Linked DNA regions of Oryzias latipes. The protein of the gene in region 4 binds, or shares a complex with, the protein of the main gene of each other region. Links are inferred from orthologs where the notes say so. Each region holds a gene or a part of one and is shown on either strand. Other genes may lie near its edges.

The links.
Region 1: the proteins of fgfr1 (region 4) and frs2 are in contact, whole or in part, in an NMR structure (PDB 1XR0), measured with the Homo sapiens proteins. The link is inferred for Oryzias latipes from reciprocal best matches to the Homo sapiens genes FGFR1 and FRS2. Residues at the interface, in NP_075598.2 of Homo sapiens: His409, Ser410, Gln411, Met412, Ala413, Val414, His415, Lys416, Leu417, Ala418, Lys419, Ser420, Ile421, Pro422, Leu423, Arg424, Arg425, Gln426, Val427, Thr428, Val429, Ser430; in NP_001036020.1 of Homo sapiens: Asn25, Val26, Asp27, Asp28, Leu33, Leu47, Thr49, Arg50, Asp53, Ser54, Val55, Trp57, Leu60, Cys61, Leu62, Arg63, Arg64, Tyr65, Gly66, Tyr67, Asp68, Ser69, Leu71, Ser73, Phe74, Gln81, Thr82, Ile86, Phe87, Ala88.
Region 2: the proteins of fgfr1 (region 4) and plcg2 are in contact, whole or in part, in a cryo-EM structure (PDB 8JQI), measured with the Homo sapiens proteins. The link is inferred for Oryzias latipes from reciprocal best matches to the Homo sapiens genes FGFR1 and PLCG2. Residues at the interface, in NP_075598.2 of Homo sapiens: Lys504, Asn506, His541, Lys542, Lys598, Ser602, Tyr605, Gln606, Arg609, Glu612, Tyr613, Ser616, Lys617, Lys748, Asp755, Arg756, Val758, Ser762, Gln764, Glu765, Tyr766, Leu767, Asp768, Leu769; in NP_001412678.1 of Homo sapiens: Phe528, Arg540, Thr568, Phe569, Pro570, Asn571, Phe577, His585, Cys586, Arg587, Arg589, Ser590, Thr591, Met592, Gly595, Leu601, Thr602, Asn604, Leu622, Arg623, Cys624, Ala625, Glu626, Phe627, Glu738.
Region 3: the proteins of fgfr1 (region 4) and fgf23 are in contact, whole or in part, in a cryo-EM structure (PDB 7YSH), measured with the Homo sapiens proteins. The link is inferred for Oryzias latipes from reciprocal best matches to the Homo sapiens genes FGFR1 and FGF23. Residues at the interface, in NP_075598.2 of Homo sapiens: Glu159, Lys160, Glu162, Lys163, Lys164, Leu165, His166, Ala167, Val168, Pro169, Lys172, Gln244, Asp246, Val248, Glu249, Arg250, Ser251, Pro252, Val279, Tyr280, Ser281, Asp282, Pro283, Gln284, Pro285, His286, Ile287, Ala314, Gly315, Val316; in NP_065689.1 of Homo sapiens: Leu31, Leu32, Gly33, Ser34, Trp36, Gly37, Tyr43, Ala45, Thr46, Ala47, Arg48, Asn49, Ser50, His52, His66, Ile75, Arg76, Ser77, Glu78, Asp79, Ala80, Gly81, Val83, Val84, Tyr93, Phe108, His117, Gln118, Thr119, Asn122.

The regions. Positions count from the first base shown.
Region 1 is NC_019864.2:4,354,530-4,359,322, forward strand, and holds the end of frs2 (fibroblast growth factor receptor substrate 2), read right to left. Parts: coding exon 4,753-4,793; intron 2,890-4,752; coding exon 1,858-2,889; 3' UTR 1,580-1,857; downstream 1-1,579. UniProt on the Homo sapiens protein: Adapter protein that links activated FGR and NGF receptors to downstream signaling pathways.
Region 2 is NC_019864.2:27,981,653-27,986,710, forward strand, and holds part of plcg2 (1-phosphatidylinositol 4,5-bisphosphate phosphodiesterase gamma-2), read right to left. Parts: intron 4,371-5,058; coding exon 4,286-4,370; intron 4,144-4,285; coding exon 4,063-4,143; intron 2,708-4,062; coding exon 2,664-2,707; intron 2,580-2,663; coding exon 2,507-2,579; intron 1,428-2,506; coding exon 1,326-1,427; intron 1,113-1,325; coding exon 994-1,112; intron 126-993; coding exon 40-125; intron 1-39. UniProt on the Homo sapiens protein: The production of the second messenger molecules diacylglycerol (DAG) and inositol 1,4,5-trisphosphate (IP3) is mediated by activated phosphatidylinositol-specific phospholipase C enzymes. It is a crucial enzyme in transmembrane signaling.
Region 3 is NC_019881.2:17,688,397-17,692,052, reverse strand, and holds the end of fgf23 (fibroblast growth factor 23), read right to left. Parts: intron 3,317-3,656; coding exon 2,855-3,316; 3' UTR 1,580-2,854; downstream 1-1,579. Other genes in the region: fructose-2,6-bisphosphatase TIGAR B, read left to right, coding at 1,002-1,328. UniProt on the Homo sapiens protein: Regulator of phosphate homeostasis. Inhibits renal tubular phosphate transport by reducing SLC34A1 levels. Up-regulates EGR1 expression in the presence of KL. Acts directly on the parathyroid to decrease PTH secretion. Regulator of vitamin-D metabolism.
Region 4 is NC_019867.2:20,588,654-20,594,489, forward strand, and holds the end of fgfr1 (fibroblast growth factor receptor 1 precursor), read right to left. Parts: intron 4,348-5,836; coding exon 4,157-4,347; intron 4,061-4,156; coding exon 3,938-4,060; intron 3,838-3,937; coding exon 3,767-3,837; intron 3,666-3,766; coding exon 3,528-3,665; intron 2,740-3,527; coding exon 2,634-2,739; intron 2,559-2,633; coding exon 2,382-2,558; 3' UTR 1,381-2,381; downstream 1-1,380. UniProt on the Homo sapiens protein: Tyrosine-protein kinase that acts as a cell-surface receptor for fibroblast growth factors and plays an essential role in the regulation of embryonic development, cell proliferation, differentiation and migration.

The sequences.
Region 1 (4,793 bases), on a different chromosome or scaffold from region 4:
CTACAGAATCTGTCGGTCTCTTCATGGATCATCCCTAACAGAACCACTCTGCACCCAAACACGGCCAGCACCGTCCCAAACCCAAAGATCTTCAGGATTGATTAGACTTTTGAAAACTGCATTTAATAATTCTGTAAATATTTTTATCTTCATTCTCCTTTGATACCTCTGGCACTTTTCCAGCACATGAGATATTTTTGACACGTAACTAGAAATCAGTTAATCATTTCTCCAAAATAGCAGCTGATCAGATAGGAACCACGTTTGGAACCATGTTTGGAACGTGTGATGAAGGTTTGAGCTGCGATGTGTGATGGTTACATTTCGCACACGATGACGTCAGGATTCTCTTCAGTTTCAGCCTCACATGTTGCTGTTTTTGAACAAAACTCATTTAAAATGGCAAAACAAACATGCAGCTATTATGGGATGTTCATTGTGCATTTGTTAGCAGGACAGTGACTTTCTGAAGGGTTAGTGAGGAACAACCAGTTCTTCTTAGAGAGAAAAAAAATACTGCAAAACCTCTCTGACACGACTCAACGCTAGTTAGAAACTGTTGCTGCTTTCAAGGACGTTGTTGCAATCATAGTGCACATCAATATGTATTAAATGTTTTTATACCATGGTCTGAGTGAATACTCAGTCCTGATTGGCTGCACGGTGTCCATTCAAAATTGATAATGAACAGCTAAAAAAGAAATTCCAGTCACATAGGCTGAATGTTCCATATCATTACGCCGGCCCAAACACCACTTGGAAACCGGAACAACAAAATCTTGGAACATAGGTGGACAGACGTCTACAGTTTGTCACAACAGCAGTAAAGTAGAAAACGGGATTTATAGTTTCCTGTTAGGTGAATTTGATGACTATGAAGACTGGGATGCAGCAGAAGACAATTTAAGGAGAGAATATTAAGACATTGTCTTTTAGAAATAAACATTAGCTTCATCAACTGGAAAAAAAATCTGGGAGAAAAAGGGAGAAGTTTTGTCTGAACTGATGCTTTGTTAAACCCTTGTGCTGTCTTAGGTGACCCCCATCTAAGATAGCACAAGGGTTAAATAGACCAGCTGCCTTTTTAGTTTTTTCAGCACTTCGTAAAGATAAAATTTGGTGAATTTAAACGCAGAAGCTTCTCCTCATATTGCTGCATAGCTACACACAGTCTGAATGGCGCCCTCATGTTGAGCTGCCCTCCAGCAGCTCGCAGGTCACATGACTGGAACTACTGGGCCTGCTGAGCTCTGCTATAGTAAAAAGACTGGGGTTTGGGTCAGACAATAAGAACTGAAGGCAATTCCCAAAACCCGACAGAGTCAAACCAAGAAGTTGTTGTGGTTCCACCTGGAGAAAAAGCTGCAAGTGCCGGAGGACTTTGGCTCCACCAGCTTTCTGTTCACACGGTTATCAAACTGTTAGCTAGATGCACGTAGACCTGCTCACTAACAGCTCTAGGACAGGTAACGTCGCACTGAGCAGTCGGTATTACCTGTCCTAGACCTGCTTTCCTACTGCTGAACCATCTGTACTTCATGTCACGGCCATTACAGGGGAGGGAGGACAGGAGGCGCCGTCGCTGGTACAAAGAACCCAGACTTTATTGCGTCAGATCTACTGAAGCAGAGCGTCGTCTCGCCGCAGCGGAGTGACTCGTACAAAAAGGCTAATGGAATGCTGCTCAGTAATACTGATGTGTACCATATAAGGAATGCAGTCTGTGACATCATAGTTCTCGCAGGTGTCACGCCAGAGAGTTCATCTGCCGTGCATGTGTGCACGGGCAAGTGTGCACCGAGTCCCGTCTACTGACCATCCACCCATCCTCCCGCCGTTCACGGTGGCAGCAGCAAGTCACGCCGTGCTCTTGGTGGGCAGTTCTGTGCTGTTGTGCCTGGTCTTGCGCGACGTTCCATCGTCGCGTGGCCGCGCCTTCTGCAGGCTAGACATGGCGGCAGTGCGCTCAATGTCAATCAGAGTGTACTGCTCAGTGCGGCGAGTGGGCGTGGTGGGGGGCAGCGGGGAGGTAGGGGTGCGGGGCGTATGGGGGTTGCTCCCATCTGAGGCGCCTCTGTTCCCGCAACTTTCCATCTCCACCTCGATGTAGTTTAGGGTCTTGGGGGGCTCCAAGTGGCCTGGCAGCGGCGGCCGGCGGAAGTCAAAGTTGAAGATGGTGGGTCCATCAGAGCGGCGGCGGGCCGTTTCTGGGCGGTGCGCGCTGAGTGGAGCCGTCACGTTCTCTGTGTTGACGTAGTTGTGCGAAGGCTCAAAAGTGGCGGACAGCGGGTGGGAGTAGGAGTGATGCAGCAGGCTGTGGGGGTGGTGGTGGTGGTTGTAGCCGTTGAGCGACGGCGTCTTGAGCCCGGCGTGCTCCTCCTCTTCCTCTGCGCTTGGTTTCCTTGTCTCCCAGACGGGAGGCAGCGCCGGCAGGTTTTCGTAGTCCAGCAGGACAGTGCGCCGTTGGGCGGAGTTGTTGACATTCTGCAGGTCAGGGGTGAGTGGGGGGGGCCGATGGCGGCGGGACGCCACCGCTACGTTGGAGGTGGAGCCGTTGGAGTGTGGTGGAGCGGGCTCCGCATCCGCCGATCCTTCAGTCTCTCGGGGCTCCTCGGCCTCCTTCGACTCTTGTCGCCTCCTCTCCTGCTCCATCAGCTGCCTCTGAACGGGGGTGGGGCCAAGCACAAAGCGCACCCCCTGAGGCTCCAGGAGTACCTGGGGCTCGGGCGGGGGGAGCGCCTCCGACGTCTCCGTGCGAGTCCTGGGCGGAGGGGGGGGTGTGGGAGGACACTGGGACTGTGGAGAGGTGGGGCTCTCCAGGGGGGTGGTGAGGGTGAGAGGACTGGGCTGTTCATCCAAGAGCCCCGTGGTGTTGACGTACGTATGCACCTGCAGACACACAACCAGCTTCTAGTCATCATCAAATACCCACAGACAGTCATGGGGGTGGGGGGAAACTCCCCGAACGCATCAGCAATTGAAAAGACCCTCCCACAGGTCTGCCTCCTATCAGACGAGGACTTGGACCTTCACACTCTGCGGTGCCGCTCTGGCTTTCTCCCTTTAGCGTCGTCTACATTTCACCGCTCTCATATAGATTTTCCTTTGCTAGACTTGTAAAAAACACGGATGCTTTTATTTTGTAGGTCTTTAAGAGGGACATCAGCGTACATCTCCACTGCTCTCATGAAAACCTGTTTGATCTTTGAGCTCTTGTGTTTCCTGAAATCACAGGATTGTAGTGTTTTCTGATCAGTGAGCTGGACCTGCTGGCTGTTACACAGGATCATGGGAAACTGAGTTTTAACACAAAGAGGTTCACCCTCACCGACTGGAAACATCATGTATGAGAACCTTTGTCAGTCATACAACGTGGAACATAAGTATTTGATCCTTTGCATGAATTTAGCACACCTAAACAAAAAAAAATGACAGTCTGTTGTCCTAATGGTCGGTTCATAGAAAATCAGAAAGAAAATCAAGACATTGACTAAAGAATTTATATAGATTTAAATCCATTTCATTGAAGGAAATAAGTATTTGAACCCTCTTCCTGGAAGGATTTAGTATTTTGTGGTCAAACCCTTTTCTTTACAAGTGATCTCTAAATCATTCAGATTTGGTGGCTGTTGCCTAGCAACTCTGAGCTTCAGCTCTCTTTCTATAAGAGGTCCACAGACTGGCTGGGCTATCCATGAATGTGATATGGTTCTTCTCTAACTGTTCCTTGGGTTTTTGGGTTGTATGTTTTGGCTCATTACATCAATGGCCCATTTTAATCCTCCTGGTGGAGGGAAGGAGGTTCTCACTCAGGATTTGATGGTTCACGGCTCCATCCATCCTCCTATCCACACAGTGCAGTAGCCCCGTGCAGAAAAACACCCCCAAAGCATGTTTCCACCTCCATGCTTGACAAAGGAGACAGTGTTCTTGAGGTTATTGGAAGATTTCCTCCAAACATGACGGGTGCGTGTTGGTCTCATCTGACATCACCTTCTCCCAATCGCTCTCTAAATCCTGAAGGTGTTCATTGTTGAACTTCAGGCAGTCTGGACATTCTTCTTAAGCACAACTACTTAGCGAGCTCTGCAAGAACCATTGCAGTGTAAAGTATTACCAATGGTTTTCTTGGTGACTGTGCTTTCATCAACTGACTCCTGCTGCGTTGTTTTAGTCCGATTACTCTCTGTAGTCATGATCATGGACATCACAGCAGGTCATGCGGCAGCAACAGTTGTCATCTTAACCCCCAGCTTCTTGCTGATGGTTTTGTAGACCATTCAGTCTGGTGCAGGTCTACAACCTTCTCCCTCTAAACCCACTAAAAGCTCCTCATGTTGGAGAGTTTGGAGTCTGACTGATTCTGTGGACGGGTGAATAGTTCAAACAGGGGTCTTCCGTTTAGGTAACAAGTTGAATAGGAGAGTCTAACTGGTCTGTGTGAACCAGAACTCTTTATGGTTACTGGGGGATCAAATACTTATTTGCCTCAATGAAATGCAAATAAATGTAAATGCACTCTTTAAATTAGATTTCTTGATTTTCTTTGTTAATCGCTGACTGTACAAATGAACCGACCTCTAGGATGACAGACTGTCAGTTTCTCTTTAAGCGGGCAAACCTGCAAAATCAACAAGGGATCAAGTACTTATTTTCTCCACTGTAATCTTTATCATCACCACAACCACCATTGTCATTATTCATTATCCTCCTTTCCATAATGTAACCCCAACATGATCAGACAGAGCTTACCCCTTCATCGGCAACCAGCAGTGGGTGGGTGGACTCCTCCC
Region 2 (5,058 bases), on a different chromosome or scaffold from region 4:
TCACGAGTCGAAGAATAGAAAAAAAAGCAGAACACTGACGCTCAACGCAGCGACATCCCAGACGCAGGCAGCGGACGTACGCCTCAGTGGACGACTCGCTGCGAAGCTGATCTCCGGTCAGATACCTGGAGAAAAAGAACACACAACAAGGTCAACTAGTGTAAAACTTATTTCTATAGTAAATGTGCCTTTTACTGTAATGTTTTTGTTCTTGAAGTATTTAAACAAGTTTGTTTTTTACAGTTTTTTTACCTGCTGTGTTTAATTAATCTAAAAAAAAGACATTTCTAAACTGCAAATCTGAGGATAAAAGTATTAAAACTTAGTAAAAATCTAAACTATTATTGATGCCTCCAAGTAAATAAAATGTTAAAACCCACTAAGAGTGACAAATAATTTAGTATGTTTTCCAGGAAAGCTTCATAAAATATATAAAACAGAATGAAAAGTAAAACCAATTAAGAAAAAAGAAAGTCTGTCTTAAGATTGAAAAATAGATCACTCTTAAAATAACATTTATACATTTAAAGCAAGTATTTTTTACATTTCTTTCACAATTCTAATAGATTAAATATATTATGTATACATTTAGGACATTTTAGGATTTTTTTTCTGTCTATAAGATTTAAAAATCTATAGAAATTAAGAATACATTTAAAAAAAAGAAGTAAAACAAATGAAAATTATTGCAGGGAAATAAATAATGCTGATCGACGCACCTAATACTAAAGTATGACTTTGAAACATTAAAATAAGATATTATCCTTTAGGGAGCCAGACAGATACACAGAACTGAACAAAAAAAGACAAATTAGAGGTCATTGTGACAAACAATTTCAATAAAATTGGGATTTGAACAAAAACAAAGTGTAAAGCAAGAATATGAGACAAGCAGAGAATGATCAGAAAGGCAGGAAAACCACTTTTTAAATACTGAAAATAATGGAGAGCGCAGCTCAGGCATGTGTGGTTATTTCGTGGAGCAGAACTCACGTGTTGTGTGAGGAGTTGATCCAGTAATGTGATAAAGGATTGTTCATGTTCAGGTTGTTGATCTCGGAGTACTTCTCATCCCACACGGCATTCTCCTTGGAAAACAGGAACCCGAGGAACTGAAAGCGGAAAAAAGGCCTCAGCTTGTGCATCAGGTGAGTCACTTCAGGCTCGGAGGTCCCCGTTTGACTTCTTCTCTTTGGTAATCAATCTACTGTTAAAACAACCTCAGTCCCAGCAGGTTCAGAGGCTTCTGAAGCCCACAGAAGCCAAAGTAGACGAAGGTTTATTCAACGGCAGGCAAAACCTGCACAGGAACGTTCTGAGTGTACCTCACTGACGGTGAACTCTGGATCGTTGGTTCTTCTCATGGTGTCGTCGATAAATGTGGTCATCAGCTCTCTGACTTGGTTCAGATTGTTGGCCCAGCTTTCCTAAAAAAGGAAAGAAAAAGCTTATTTTAGTTCATTTTTTTAATGAAAACAGGCCTGTAAAGAAGCTTGTCCCTGATAATGACTTTAGACATTTAAAGGCTGAAATGTTTTTGTCGTTTTGTTGCTTTGAGATAAACCGTAGCAGAAACACAAGATTATCCTTCAAAACAGCACAAAAAATTTAACAAATAATCCCCAAAACACTTGAAATTACCCAAGAATTGTGTTAACACGGCATAAATGTGACTATTTGGTAACATAAATCATTTAATGACGCACTCCAATCATCTTATGATCTATTTTTAAAGCGCCCCCTGTGGTCTTTTATTCATAATTACGGTGTTTTGTTTTTGTGCCAAATTTCATTTTCTAGGACATAGTTTCTGCAGAGCGGCAGGAGTTCTGGGAAATGTTATTTCATGTGCTCCTGATTCACAACAATTTGAATAAAGAAATACTCAGAACTGCGATTTAAATTTAAATCTTCTTTTGTATATGTCCTCCATCGTGAGAAAAATGCCACAACAACATGACAAAACACCAAAAACACAATCTTTAAAACATTATTCATTACTCATAAGTCCTGTGGAGCAGACTTCATGTTTTGGTCCATCATTTTTAAACAACAGACAAAATAAAGAGGGCAGAGCTTGGATACATTTCTTAACTTTTAAGAAACTTTTTGGGTGCAATATTATCTGACTGTAAATATTTTTAGCACTTTATTTTAAATCTTAAACTTTTTAAACTAGAAAACATCTAAAAGTCCCAAAAAAAAACAATAGGTAAATGAAAAAAAAAAAAGAATAAAAATATCAAGTGTGATTTAACAACGCTTCATTTTAGTTTTCTGAAGAAATCTATATGTCAGTTGTGAAAGTGTAGAACTTAAATATAGTTTAAAGTGTGTGCACTTTTATCAAGGACCATAAACAAATGATTCGTTTTATGTTGCATTTCAGCCTTTAAAACAGTTTGGCTTGTTTCTTAAATCTTTTTATTGAAAGCATATGTAATAGAATTTGTAATATCTTGTTTTGCGTTTTATACCTTTTCATAGCATTCCAGTTGAATTTTACCTTTTGATCATAAATGAGGAAGCGCTGGAAATCGTGCAGGAGCACCGCAGAGGCGTCCGGTTTATCCGTGTTACTGGACGACAGGAGAGACAAACAAACGGATCTAAACAGGCCGCTTCTAACAGGGGAATCTCGCTAAAGAGAAACTGCATCTCACCCCAGAATAAAAGAACAGGCTTCTCTTTTGAACTCATCAAGAATCTGATTTTAAAACAAACAAACAAACAGACATCAATAAACAATGTGAGGGGGAAGGAAGCACGCCTAACTTAAAGACACGTCTGAAAACTAACAAAAAAAAAATACAATCTACGTCTAAAATAAGAAGTTCAACTGTCAACAGAACATTACTTTTTAACCATTAGGTTATTTATTAAATGAAAACTGGGCCAAAGCCTTTCCTAAAAAATAAATTATACTCCATGACTCGACACTTTTGGCAGCAATAACCTGAAGCAATCGCCTCCTTTATGACAGTCTGACTATATCTTGGGTTGCTTGTATTTAAACCAATAAAACCATTGGTATTATATTTTAAAGAGGCATTTTCTGAGAGCCCTACTTCATTAGCATGATACACACTTTACTTAAAAACCTGTAACTTGGTACATGTGGAATAATGGTGGATTATCATTCCACTAGGGGCAGTAGAGGGCCTTTTCCTCATTTCAAAATGTCTGCTTCCATGAAATCTCAAAAACAGTTTTGACGGGAAACGTTTTGATAATTTTCAAATGTTTAATTATTCATTCATTTTAATCCAGATACACCTTTTGTATGGATGGATCAGTTCTGAGACGCTGGGAAATAAGGTGCTTTTTACCTTAAACTATATTTTTACATCTAAACTAACATTACTACCTACATATTACTATTGTTACTTATATTACTAGTATCTATTTAACCATGGGAAGCACTTTGAGATCTGTATAGCAGGAAAAGTGCTGTACAAATAAAGTTCAATTATATCTATATCTCATATAAAACTATATTGCTAATTGTTTTGCGGATTTCCTCTTAAAAATCATCTTAATCCCAAAAAATTGATTTTTTTTTTTTTATGTGTCAATTTTTTTAAGGGCCTTCACAGGGTTACATCTTCATTTCAGTTTATTCGCATGCTATTGCCTTTTTTTAAATCAAGGTTACTGCAAGAGGGTACGGTCCTGAGGTTTCAAAACAGCCCAAACCATGAGCCCTCCACCATCATGCTTGAAAGTTGGTCTGACCTTTTGGTTGAAAAAACTGTAAACCTCTGGGGTTATATCTGCCTCTTCACAATAAAATACATGTAAGCAGACTGATTTATTTAGTTATTTGTTTAATGAACTCAACTTTGCAACCTCTATCTAAATTGACTGACACTGTTTTTTATGTTAGAGCATCACAAAATATATTTTTGTATATTCCACTCTGCCAAGACGTTTATTCCATATTGTAAAACAAAATATAAGGCTGCCACTATTTTGGACTTCTTTACATTAATGTTTGACACCACGGCTTCAGTTTTAGAACGTTTTTTCTTTCTTTCTTTTGTGGACGTAGTCACCACTCACCTCATTCTGTTCAAACATGATCAGATTATAAAACTTATGAAACTGCTCAAAATCCAGACGATCTTTCTTTATGCCCACTTCCTGTGAAAGCAGAACAGAAGGGCGGGCAGCAAGAAACGCAGAATGAACCACATCAGCTTGACTTCTATTGAAGTGGTTATTCACAAAGCAAAGCAGCCTGTTTCTAAAAACTGTCTCAAAGCCGAGAAAGTAGGAAAAGTACCAGCAGTTTGTCCTTGAACGTCCGAGAGCTGGGGGCCTTGTAGTTCAGCACAGGAAGCAGAGACTTCAGTTCCTTTACAGAGATGCTGGTGGACACAAAGCGCATCATCAGGACTCAAGCTGGAGAATTGTTTTTTACATTTCACTAATACAAAACAGATGATTTGATGAAAGATACTTTCATTGTGCAAACAATGACAATAAGACATTTTAAAGACCCACTAGAATAAAAATTGTTTTTTTAACACGCCCTTATAGCATTTTTCTTATGATTAAGGACATATATAAAGAAAATTAAAACTTAAAACTGCATTTCTGAGTGTTTCTTTATTCTAATTGTAGTGAATTAGGAGCAGATGATTGAAATAGAGCTTAAATGTGATGTAGAAAATACACTGGGCGGATCACAAAATCCCTGCTCCGCTCCATTCCATTGCATCCACTTCTAGACAAATAGATCCATGTACGTCTTTGTTTTCCTTGTCTAAACTGGCATCTGGCTCAGAACTGTACAGCTGGATAGCTCCAACATTGCTCACCATTTTTGTTACACCAATAATATTAGTTTGGAGGTGTGAAGGGCTGGAAGCCAGTGTTTTTCAACTTTTTTTTAAACCACGGCACACTTTAACCTTGACAAAAATCCCACGGCACACCAGCATCCAAAAAAATAAAAATAAAAAGGAGAAACTCATTGTCTGTATTGATCTACAGCTCCTCCGCAATCCCACATGCATTTTTTGTGATAATTGTGGCAGAAAAAGCTGGAAGCTG
Region 3 (3,656 bases), on a different chromosome or scaffold from region 4:
GCTGTACTGTGACAGGTTCCACTTTTACAGTGAGGACTGTGTTTAGGGCGAATATTTATCTTGAAGGAAGCATCTCAGTGCTTGATGCACTGATGTGCACATCTTGTGCAATATCATACAAAGTACTGAAAATGAGTTTTTATGTAAAGGTTTTGCATTTATTGAAGAGTAAAGATGCAGATTGCACATTAGAGCATCAGATCTGTGTGGACCTGTTGCAGATTCACAAACGTTTGTTTACTTTATCAAACAGAGAAATCTGTTTCATGTTTTTTGTAAACTGACCGTTGCTTAGAGCAAAGACAGTTTTTTTCTTTCATTGCTTCTGCCTGTCTTCACTACGAGATTCACAATTATGCTCTTAAAGGTTCTTGCTATATGTTGTACAAGAATCAAATATTTAAACAAATCCAAGAGGGCATCCAGCTTTCATTGATTAAAAATGGAAATAAAAACAGTCATCTGTGTATGTTTGTCACTTAACTGTGGTGTAGAAGCGACTTTCCTGTTTAACGTCCCGCTCCAATCATCTTTTGATCTTTTTAAAAGGCATTCAAAATCTTGAATGCCTTTTTAAATCTTGTTCAGGATATGAAGCAGAGTAGCACATGGGAGGACTTCCACTGCCTCCTGTAGTGTAGGTTCCACTGGTAAAACATCCCGGAGTGCCACTATACCCGACTGTCCGGAAGGCCTTTCATAGACTGGCTCAGACTGAAGTTGTCCAGAGAATGGAGGATACCCTCTGGGCTGATAAGCTCCACCTCCTTGAGGAACGCAGGTAACAGTTCCAACAAGCAGACAAACCAACAGCACCCTCATTCTGCTCACTTGCCGCTACTGCTTCTTCTGCGTCTGCTCAAAAGAGAGCTCAAAAAGCTGGGTTTTTTCAACTGTGATGATCCTGTTTTTAGCCAAAATCTAGAATACGGTGTTGTTTTCTAGGACATAGTTTCTGCAGAGCGGCAGTAGTTCATTAGAAATTCCCTTCTGATTTGCAGGGGGGACAAAGACGTACATGTATCTCGTCGCCTTCTAAAGTGGATGCATCGGAATGGAGCGGCACAGGAAGATTGTGGCCCGCTCACAAAAAGCTCCATTTTTTATTTATATCTTTTAATCTGCTCCTGATTCCCTACAATTTGAGTAAAGAGGTACCCAGAAATGGATTTTTCAGTCTAATTTGCCTTATATGTGAACTCCATCATAAGAAAAATGCCACAAGAACATTAAAAACACCTAAATCCCTAAAAGGAATACAGCAGGTTAGGAAAATGGATGGACCTCTAAGCCTCCTTAAAAGCCAATGGGTTTATTTTTGCATCTGATGCGCTTCTATCACCAAAAGATATTGCAGTCTATGCTTTTTGTTTTGCATTTCTATAAAAAATAGCAGTGGGAGAAAAAAGTTTTCTTTGTATGATGTAATAAGCTTGATTTACAATGAGAAAAAGGTGGACAAGAGCGACAAAAACAGCCAAAACATTTTAGCTCCTACATGTAGTATCTTCAGTTATTATGAACGATGAAGATAAAGATTGTTTGAAGCATAAAAAACACAAGAAAATCCAAAACAAATGACTTTTTTAAACTTTATTTGGTCCCAAATTCAAGCAAAACTCTTTCTAAATTAAATTCCAGCTCATACATTCAAAGCAAATCTTTTTTTTCTGTATGTACAACTCCAACATTACCATAAATACTATAAATAAACAGTGAAAGGAAAATATTTCAATAAATAAATACTTTTAGGGACTGCTGTGTGTTTGCTGTTGATGAGAACAACTCAGTCACCTACAAAATTAACATTTATTTTTTGACCCTGTTTGTCCTTTTCTTTCAAGTTATGAGTTCCATCCTACTGGTGGGAAAATTCAGATGTTGTTATAAGACGACTTTCTTCATAATTAATAAAGCAAACTGCTGAAATACTTAAAGAAGGCTAAAATGAAGGCTAATCCTATTGCATTTTTTAATAGTCTCATATTTGTTCATGCCTGCTGGTTTCAGTTCAGCGGTCAAACCCTTCAGTCCTCCAGAGGTAGACTAAATTTGGTTTGTCATTAGACGACATGAATATGGGTTCCTAAGATTGTATAAAACATTTGAACAATGTAAATAAACAGGATATAACACAAATTCATAAAAATATGGGTTGAGTTGCAGAGGATATCAGCTAAATTTGTGGGGGGAAAATAAATGTATCTTAACCATCTTGACATTTAAAGAGCAGAAATTCTTAGGAAGTTGTGGAAACTAGAAGAAGATGGGAAGGTAAGGAGCCCTGGACATGACAAAAGTATCATTTTATTAGCATTTTGAGGACTCATATTGGCATTTTGTGTGTACATTTATGGGCACAAATAAGCATTTTAAGTATCTTCCATTCCTACCACTAATTTGCACCCACAGATACTAATTTCCTTGCACAAAATGCTAATTTCTGTGCACAAATAAGTAATTTGGGCACACAAAATAGTATTTTAGTATCTTTATTTCTCATTTGAAACCCCTAAATACTAATTTGTGGCCAAAAAAAAACTAACATATGCTTACAAAATACTAATGGGGGCCAGAAGAAATGCAAATTTTTTCTTTGTCTTTTTTTTTTGTAAAGTCCTGTCCAGGGCTCTGTAAAAAGGAATTAAGTTTTTGGAAATAAGAGTTTTCAAGAATTGTGCAAAAGGTATCAAGTCAAGTCTAAAAATGTTCATTCAGTGTAAAAACACACTGCAGAAAGATTTAGCACTAACTAAACTATGCAAAGTCAGTGTGAAAGCAAAGCAACAGAAGTGTTACTCTCATGCCAGTTTTTCAAAATAAAGCTTGCTTTATATTTGAATGTTTCACCGGCTTAGCCCATTGTTCCGGTGCCTCGGGGGCTGGACTGTCTGAACGAATTCACGTTCCAGGGGTCGTCATTGAACGGAACCAGCGGTCTCTCCCGGGATAAGTTGCGTCCGTCATCACCGACCTCCATCTCCATCTCTGTCTCCACCTCCACGTCGGCGTCGTCCTGCTCCGCCACAGCCCGAGAGTCGGAGCCCTCCTCCGCCGGTCTGTGGTAGACTCCGTGCGGGTCCGAGGGATCCACGATCCGTTTCCTCTTCTCCCTGTGCGGGATGAGGCGCTCCAGCGGCACCGTGTTCTTCTTGGGTAGGAACAGGGAGGTCTGCGGCACGTTCTGACCTGCGATGTACACCTGTTTGGACCCCTCCAGGTTGAACAAGATGCTGGTCCGAGTGGAGTAGTACACGTCTCGGTTGTTTTCCAGGAGTTTGTGATTGAAGAGGCACTCCTCTCTGAGGCAAATAGGCTAAAAAAGGGGGGAACGGAGAGGAATTTCATTGGATTCAGTGCATTCGAATTAAAAAATAAATTCATGTTTATCTATAGTACATTTTCCATTCATGAAAAGAATTTTACGCATGGAAAAACTGTTTTTGGTTAAAAAAAAAAAACTTTAAACAAAAATGTAAAGTTATTTAAATTGTTTGTATTCGTCTTATTTGGTGCATTCAAAACATTTTTCATGTTTTTTTTTGCGTCGGGTATTTTAAACAAACAGACTTTTTGTGATTTTTAAGTTCATAAACTCTGCAAATGTGGCAGAGATCCGACCAAATCGTTATATTAACTACTTTAAGGCAGAAAGC
Region 4 (5,836 bases):
CTTCCTCAGACACCAGAGTGTCTGCAATCCCTTGCCCATCATCCAAAAGTTTCAGGTTAATGTTTACAGGAACTTCACCAGCATTAGAAAATGTTGTAATGTTTTCAGCAAAAGTGACATCTGAGCCATGTGATGCTCTGGTGCTTTAAATGTAAACATTTGAAAACAAGGAAGTTCCCCATCTTACAATCTCTTCAATACTGTTTAGTTTTCGTTTTCGAAGTTTGGCTTAGCAAAGGTCATCTAATCCCAACCACAGCATTGTCCGCTTTACTTGACAACATACAAATCATAAGCAAAAACTTGTAAACGAATATCTTATTTTATGGTTCCTTTTCTTTTGGAATAAAAAGAACGTTTGATTGTTATAAAAAAAAATCAAACATTGAGTACCAGGTTTATTGAAGTGTAATGTTTCTGAAGCTGCAGCTAAACTGATAAAATAACAAAAATTCTAGTGATAGCAGGAATTTGTTAGTTGCACACTGGATTACTTTATGGAATTTAAAAACACATAGATGGCACACTCCTCGTCTTTCAGAAATGGATTCTGTGAACATTTGTGGTCTTAACGCCACAGAGCATTTTTCTCTTTGCACAGGCTAACGGTTTATACTCTCAAAAGCGCAGACAATAAACTTTGTTCCGTCAAACTCTTCATGTGCCATCTGTCAGAAATGATAAAAGTCAAACTAATAGCACCTGTGCACCATTAGCAGGTTTTAAAGTGTGGCTTCGCATGCCCTTTCTATTCTTGAACAATCAAAACACACAGACGATGCTTTATTGCACCTCGTTTCCAAGGGTGAATGATATTTTCTCCCAAAATTACCAATTCCTGCTCCATCTAAAGATCTCCAATCTGACTGGGACTGATAAAGAAATCCACGTTACATATTTTGATTTACAGTTTAAAATGATGTTGATATAAATCTGTCGTCCATTAGAAACTAAAGTTTTTATTGCAACACAGGTGACTGCTTTGAAAGCAGCAGGACGATAAGAGAAGGTTCTCATTTAAAGGGTCAGGAGTGACTTAAGCTGATTTTCGCCTGTTGCGTGGAAACGGCAATCCAGGTGATATATCCACAAGTGGCAGTAAGCCAGAATGGGGACTGGCATCAAGGTTGGTGGAGCTGATGGACGAGTGTCGTAGCAGCAATTGCCAAGCTGTTCATACGGTCATAAATTACATGTTTACAGCCGGTAGAGGCTTGGCGCACTCGCCAACTTCTCTTCTGAGGTGAGCAGCATATTATCATATCCAATCAGATTCCTGCAACTGTATTAAGAGGTTTAAGTGGCCATTTCTATAAACCTACCTCCAATACAGGCATGGAAATGTTTGTATTTATAGAGTTCAAATTCAGAAAGCTTAAGTTGCTTGATCATCAGTATTTTATTGAATGTAATCCTTTTTACAATGACATACGTGCGCTGCAACTCTTCATCTGAAGTCACACGGCAGCAAACGTTTACTCCCCTCAAAACATTTACAGTGGAAGTTTAGTCCTATGAAGGTCACACAGATGGCGGTATTAACTGAAGCATATTACAGCTCGTATTACCTGCAGTATTTACAGTAGAGACCATCAGGGAAGATACCACCAGTTCTCTGGAAGCCTGCACTCACGGGCATACAAACAGCGCCACACTTTCAAAAATTGGTCCTGCATGAAATGCTATGCCGTAATTTCAGGTTTGTTAAAGTTGGAAAAAATATGTATACATATATATAAAATCCATTATACATTATTAATGATAATATGATTCATTTTGGAGAGTCACAGCTGCAATACGGACAAAAAATACTGGCCATATCAACCACAGCAACTTCAGAATACCCTCGTGTAACAACCACCCCTAAAAATTATATTAGAAAAAGGGTGAAACCATGGCATCCTTGTACAAAACACAAAAAAATCATTATGTTAATACAAAATAAGAGTATTGGAAATATATAGTAATATTTATATATATATTTTAAACTGTATTTACACTAAGAAAGATGTGCATAAACATGGTGCTGCACATCTGCTGGGAGTGTGTTGGGATTGGACCAAATCTCATCAGGTGGTGAAAACAATCATATGCATACACACAAACATTACAAAAACGGACGTGATTTGGTCAGCTCTCATGACCAAACACTGGAATGATCGAGGTATAGAGAAAAGTGAATCTACTCCTGCTAATACAAAGTGCCCCGTAAACATAGTCCACATCTGCAGTCTGCGACTTGAGTTCCACACAGTATCGCAAAGTTCCTCTCTCACAGAGCACCAGTGTTCTTTCGCTTCATCTCTAGGAGCGTGGGGAGAAATTCAACCCCATGAGGCAGGGAGTAGGGGGAACGTCAATGTTTGAAGGAAGATGAGGTATCAGCGTTTTTTGATTGCTGCCCCATTGGAGTGAGGAGGGAACTTTGGCAGGCAGGGCTCCTCTGCTCCAGCATCGTGAGAGAACACAGAGTCTTCACCAGAGGAGCACGTGGAGCTCCGGGTGTCAGGATAGCTGGGAGAATATTGGTCCAAAGGAACAGAGAGCTCTAAATACTCCTGCAAGTACACAGGGGGGGGGGTCAGAAACATTTGATTTCAGACAGCACTTACAGACTCTAGAGGGGGACTGACCTGGTTGGATGTCATAGCTAGACAACGATCCAGGTCCTCCACCAGCTGTTTGAAGGTGGGCCTTTGAGAGGGAACTGCATGCCAGCAGTCCCTCATCATCATGTACCTGCAGAAAAAGATTTTTTTCATGAAAGGTAAAAACTCGACTTTTAAAAACAAAATCATTTGGTTATTTCCAAAACTCAAAAATTAAGAGCAGCACATTTTAAGACAGTAATGTTAAATATTGTTAACCAAGTCTAAGATTTGTGACTAGGTTTTTAACATTACTTACATTTTTTAACACACTAATGATCCTGAAAACTGAACCAACAGGCAAAATCTGCTAAAAAGCAGTGATGAAAATGACAATTTATGATTTGGCAAAAACAGAGATCGGTAAAGGATTTCTGTAATTTGCTGGGTCAGCAGACAGAGGGTTACAGACTCAAACAGACTGAATAAACTAATCTGCAAGGCCGGGGACGTGGCGGGAGTGAAGTTGGACTCCTGAACGGCAGTGATGGAGCAAAAAATGCTTTAAAAACTGCAAAGCATTGTGGATAACTCCACCCATCCCCTCCACCAGCTCCTGGACCAATACAGGAGCACAAGGACAGCTAGACTAAAAGGTTTCTCAACAAGGATCAAACGCCACAGAATGACTTTCCTTCTTGTGATAATAAAATTGTATAACTTTCATGAAAGCCTGCTAACTTCATAAAACCACCTGACAGCATTATACATTTCATTTTACACACTGCTAATGTGTATTACACTGCATTTGTCTTTTCTTAGTTTGTGCATGTTGAAATTTGGTGATCGGAGCTCTGCTAAAAATGCTTCTTCCCTCTGGGATAAATAAAGTATTCTGTTTTATAAACTCTGAGTTCAGAAAATACAAAGGCTCCTTACAGTTCATGAGTGCACGTTGAAGGCTTGTCCATGCGGTGACCTTCCTTCAGCAGCTTGAACAGCTCCTCTACTGGCACACCCGGGTATGGAGAGCCTCCGAGGGTGAAGATCTCCCAAAGCAGCACTCCAAATGACCATCTGAACAAATAATGAAGAGGAGTAGCACCATGAGCGGCCGAAGAGATCGATTTTTCCTTGTTATATAACAGTTTTAAAGGGTAGTGGAACATGATACTCACACATCACTTTGATGCGTGTATATTCGATCAAATAGTGCCTCAGGCGCCATCCACTTGACTGGTAAACGACCCTAAAAACAAAAAGAAACGTGTTGTTAAATACATTTCCATGTTCCTTTTGTAAGTCCCTTTTTAGTTTAATTCATGTTATTGATCAGATCAATTACTCACATTGGTAGTTTTCTTGTAATAATCAATGTGGTGGATGTCCCTGGCGAGGCCAAAGTCAGCTATTTTCATCACATTGTCTTCAGTTACCAAAACATTGCGAGCAGCAAGATCTCTGTGAATGCACTGGAGGAAAAAAAGGTCTGAACGAACGTCCCATTTTAAATGGACTTGATTTGAGTGCTTTGCACAGCTGCAAAATAGTGGTCGTGGTGTTTTTACCTTTTTAGAGGCCAAGTACTCCATGCCTCGAGCCACTTGGTAAGCACAAGACACCAGGTCTTTGATGGACATGGTCTCCACTGAAACCTGGTCTGGGTTGTAGCAGTACTCCATACCAGGGGGGCGGCGAGCACGCAGGTATTCCCTCAAATTTCCCTTGGATGCATATTCCACTATCACGTATAGAGGACCTGGAAAAACATGAAAGAAATGAAAACCTTAAACAATGACCCAGATCTGAACCACTTTTTTTTTTTTTTTACTTGTCCTGTTTAGCAGCAGAGCAAGCAAATAAAACCATACGGCCTCCTGCGTTGGACAGATTTTACTGTTATAATAAGGGTTTTTGTATCTTCTGACACACAAAGTGTGTATTTGTATAAACCCCTTTTGTAATTTGAGGCTAAGCTTTACTTATAATAATTATTTTGATATGCATTCCTTGTTGAGCTGGATGGAAAAAAAAAAAGGGAAGAGTGGGTTGTTAAAGATGGGGCATAGGGGTTTAAGATGGGGGAGATGGGGAGTGTCAATAATACAGACATAACAAAGAGTGTCATAAGTAAACTGTCCGACTTAGTTCTTACATAACCACCCTTACGCGCACTAGAACTCCACCACAAAAAAGGAGCAGGAGGACAGTACTCAGCAGCCCCGTGGCAGAGAAGTAGGAGGAAAAGAGAGCGCACAGAGCCCCTGCCAGGGTAGAGATCCTGCCCCACCTCAAGGTGCTACAGACCTAGACCCAATCCTCCGACCACACAAGACCTATGCCGATGCCCAGATGAGAGACATGCCATCGCCCAGACGTCCTGAGGGGGCCCCTGCACCCAGAGGCAGGCCATGACCACCAATACCCAGCCTGCACTGCACACCCAAGCAGCTTGCCTGCCAGCCCCACCGTGGACAAACTGGGGGAAGTGGCAAAAACTGCCCGCCCAACGAGGAAGGTGGACACCGTTGGCCAGCAAAGGCTCCAGATAGGGCCAGGATCAGGCTCCAGTTGCTGTGAGCAGTGATGGAAAAATTGCGTTGCCCCGGTGTGCCCAGAAAAGGAGCTTTACCCATCTTCTCTGGGATATGGTCCACCCAACTCAGATATTGTGGACTCACTCGCCTCGCGGAAAAAGTGCTGCAAGGTTAGGGGCGCAGGAACCCCACGGACGCCCTGGCAGCAGCCGCCAGCCAGCCTAACCATTTTGGAGGGCGGTAGACAAGGAACAACGTGACCATCTCCCTCTGACAGTGTGCATGTGTACGAAAGGGTTGCAATTAATATCGGTGGACCAGCACTGTACAGACTCGGTTCTTCAACAGAGGTATCTGAACTTCATGTAACAGGGTGAACCGTGTTCTTATTTCACAAGCCGTTGCCCGAGAAGAGCTATACTGAGCAGTGGAAGATGAGCAGTTGGAGGAAAAGCCACCAGACAACCAAATGCTAGGAGCGACTGGTCGGAGGAGTGCTCCAGGACAAGCAAGCGCTGGACTGACATTAGAGGAACACTCATCGTTGGGTAAAGCGCCGCCGGGACAGATCAGAGAGGGGCGCCTTGGAAGTCAGGATAGACGAGCCCTGGCCGGCACCAGAGGAGCAGCTGAGTCAGGAGCCAGACAGCGGTCAGAGGGGACAGCGACATTGGAACACAGAGGGGTGTGGTTGTGACCTGCCCCTCTTTG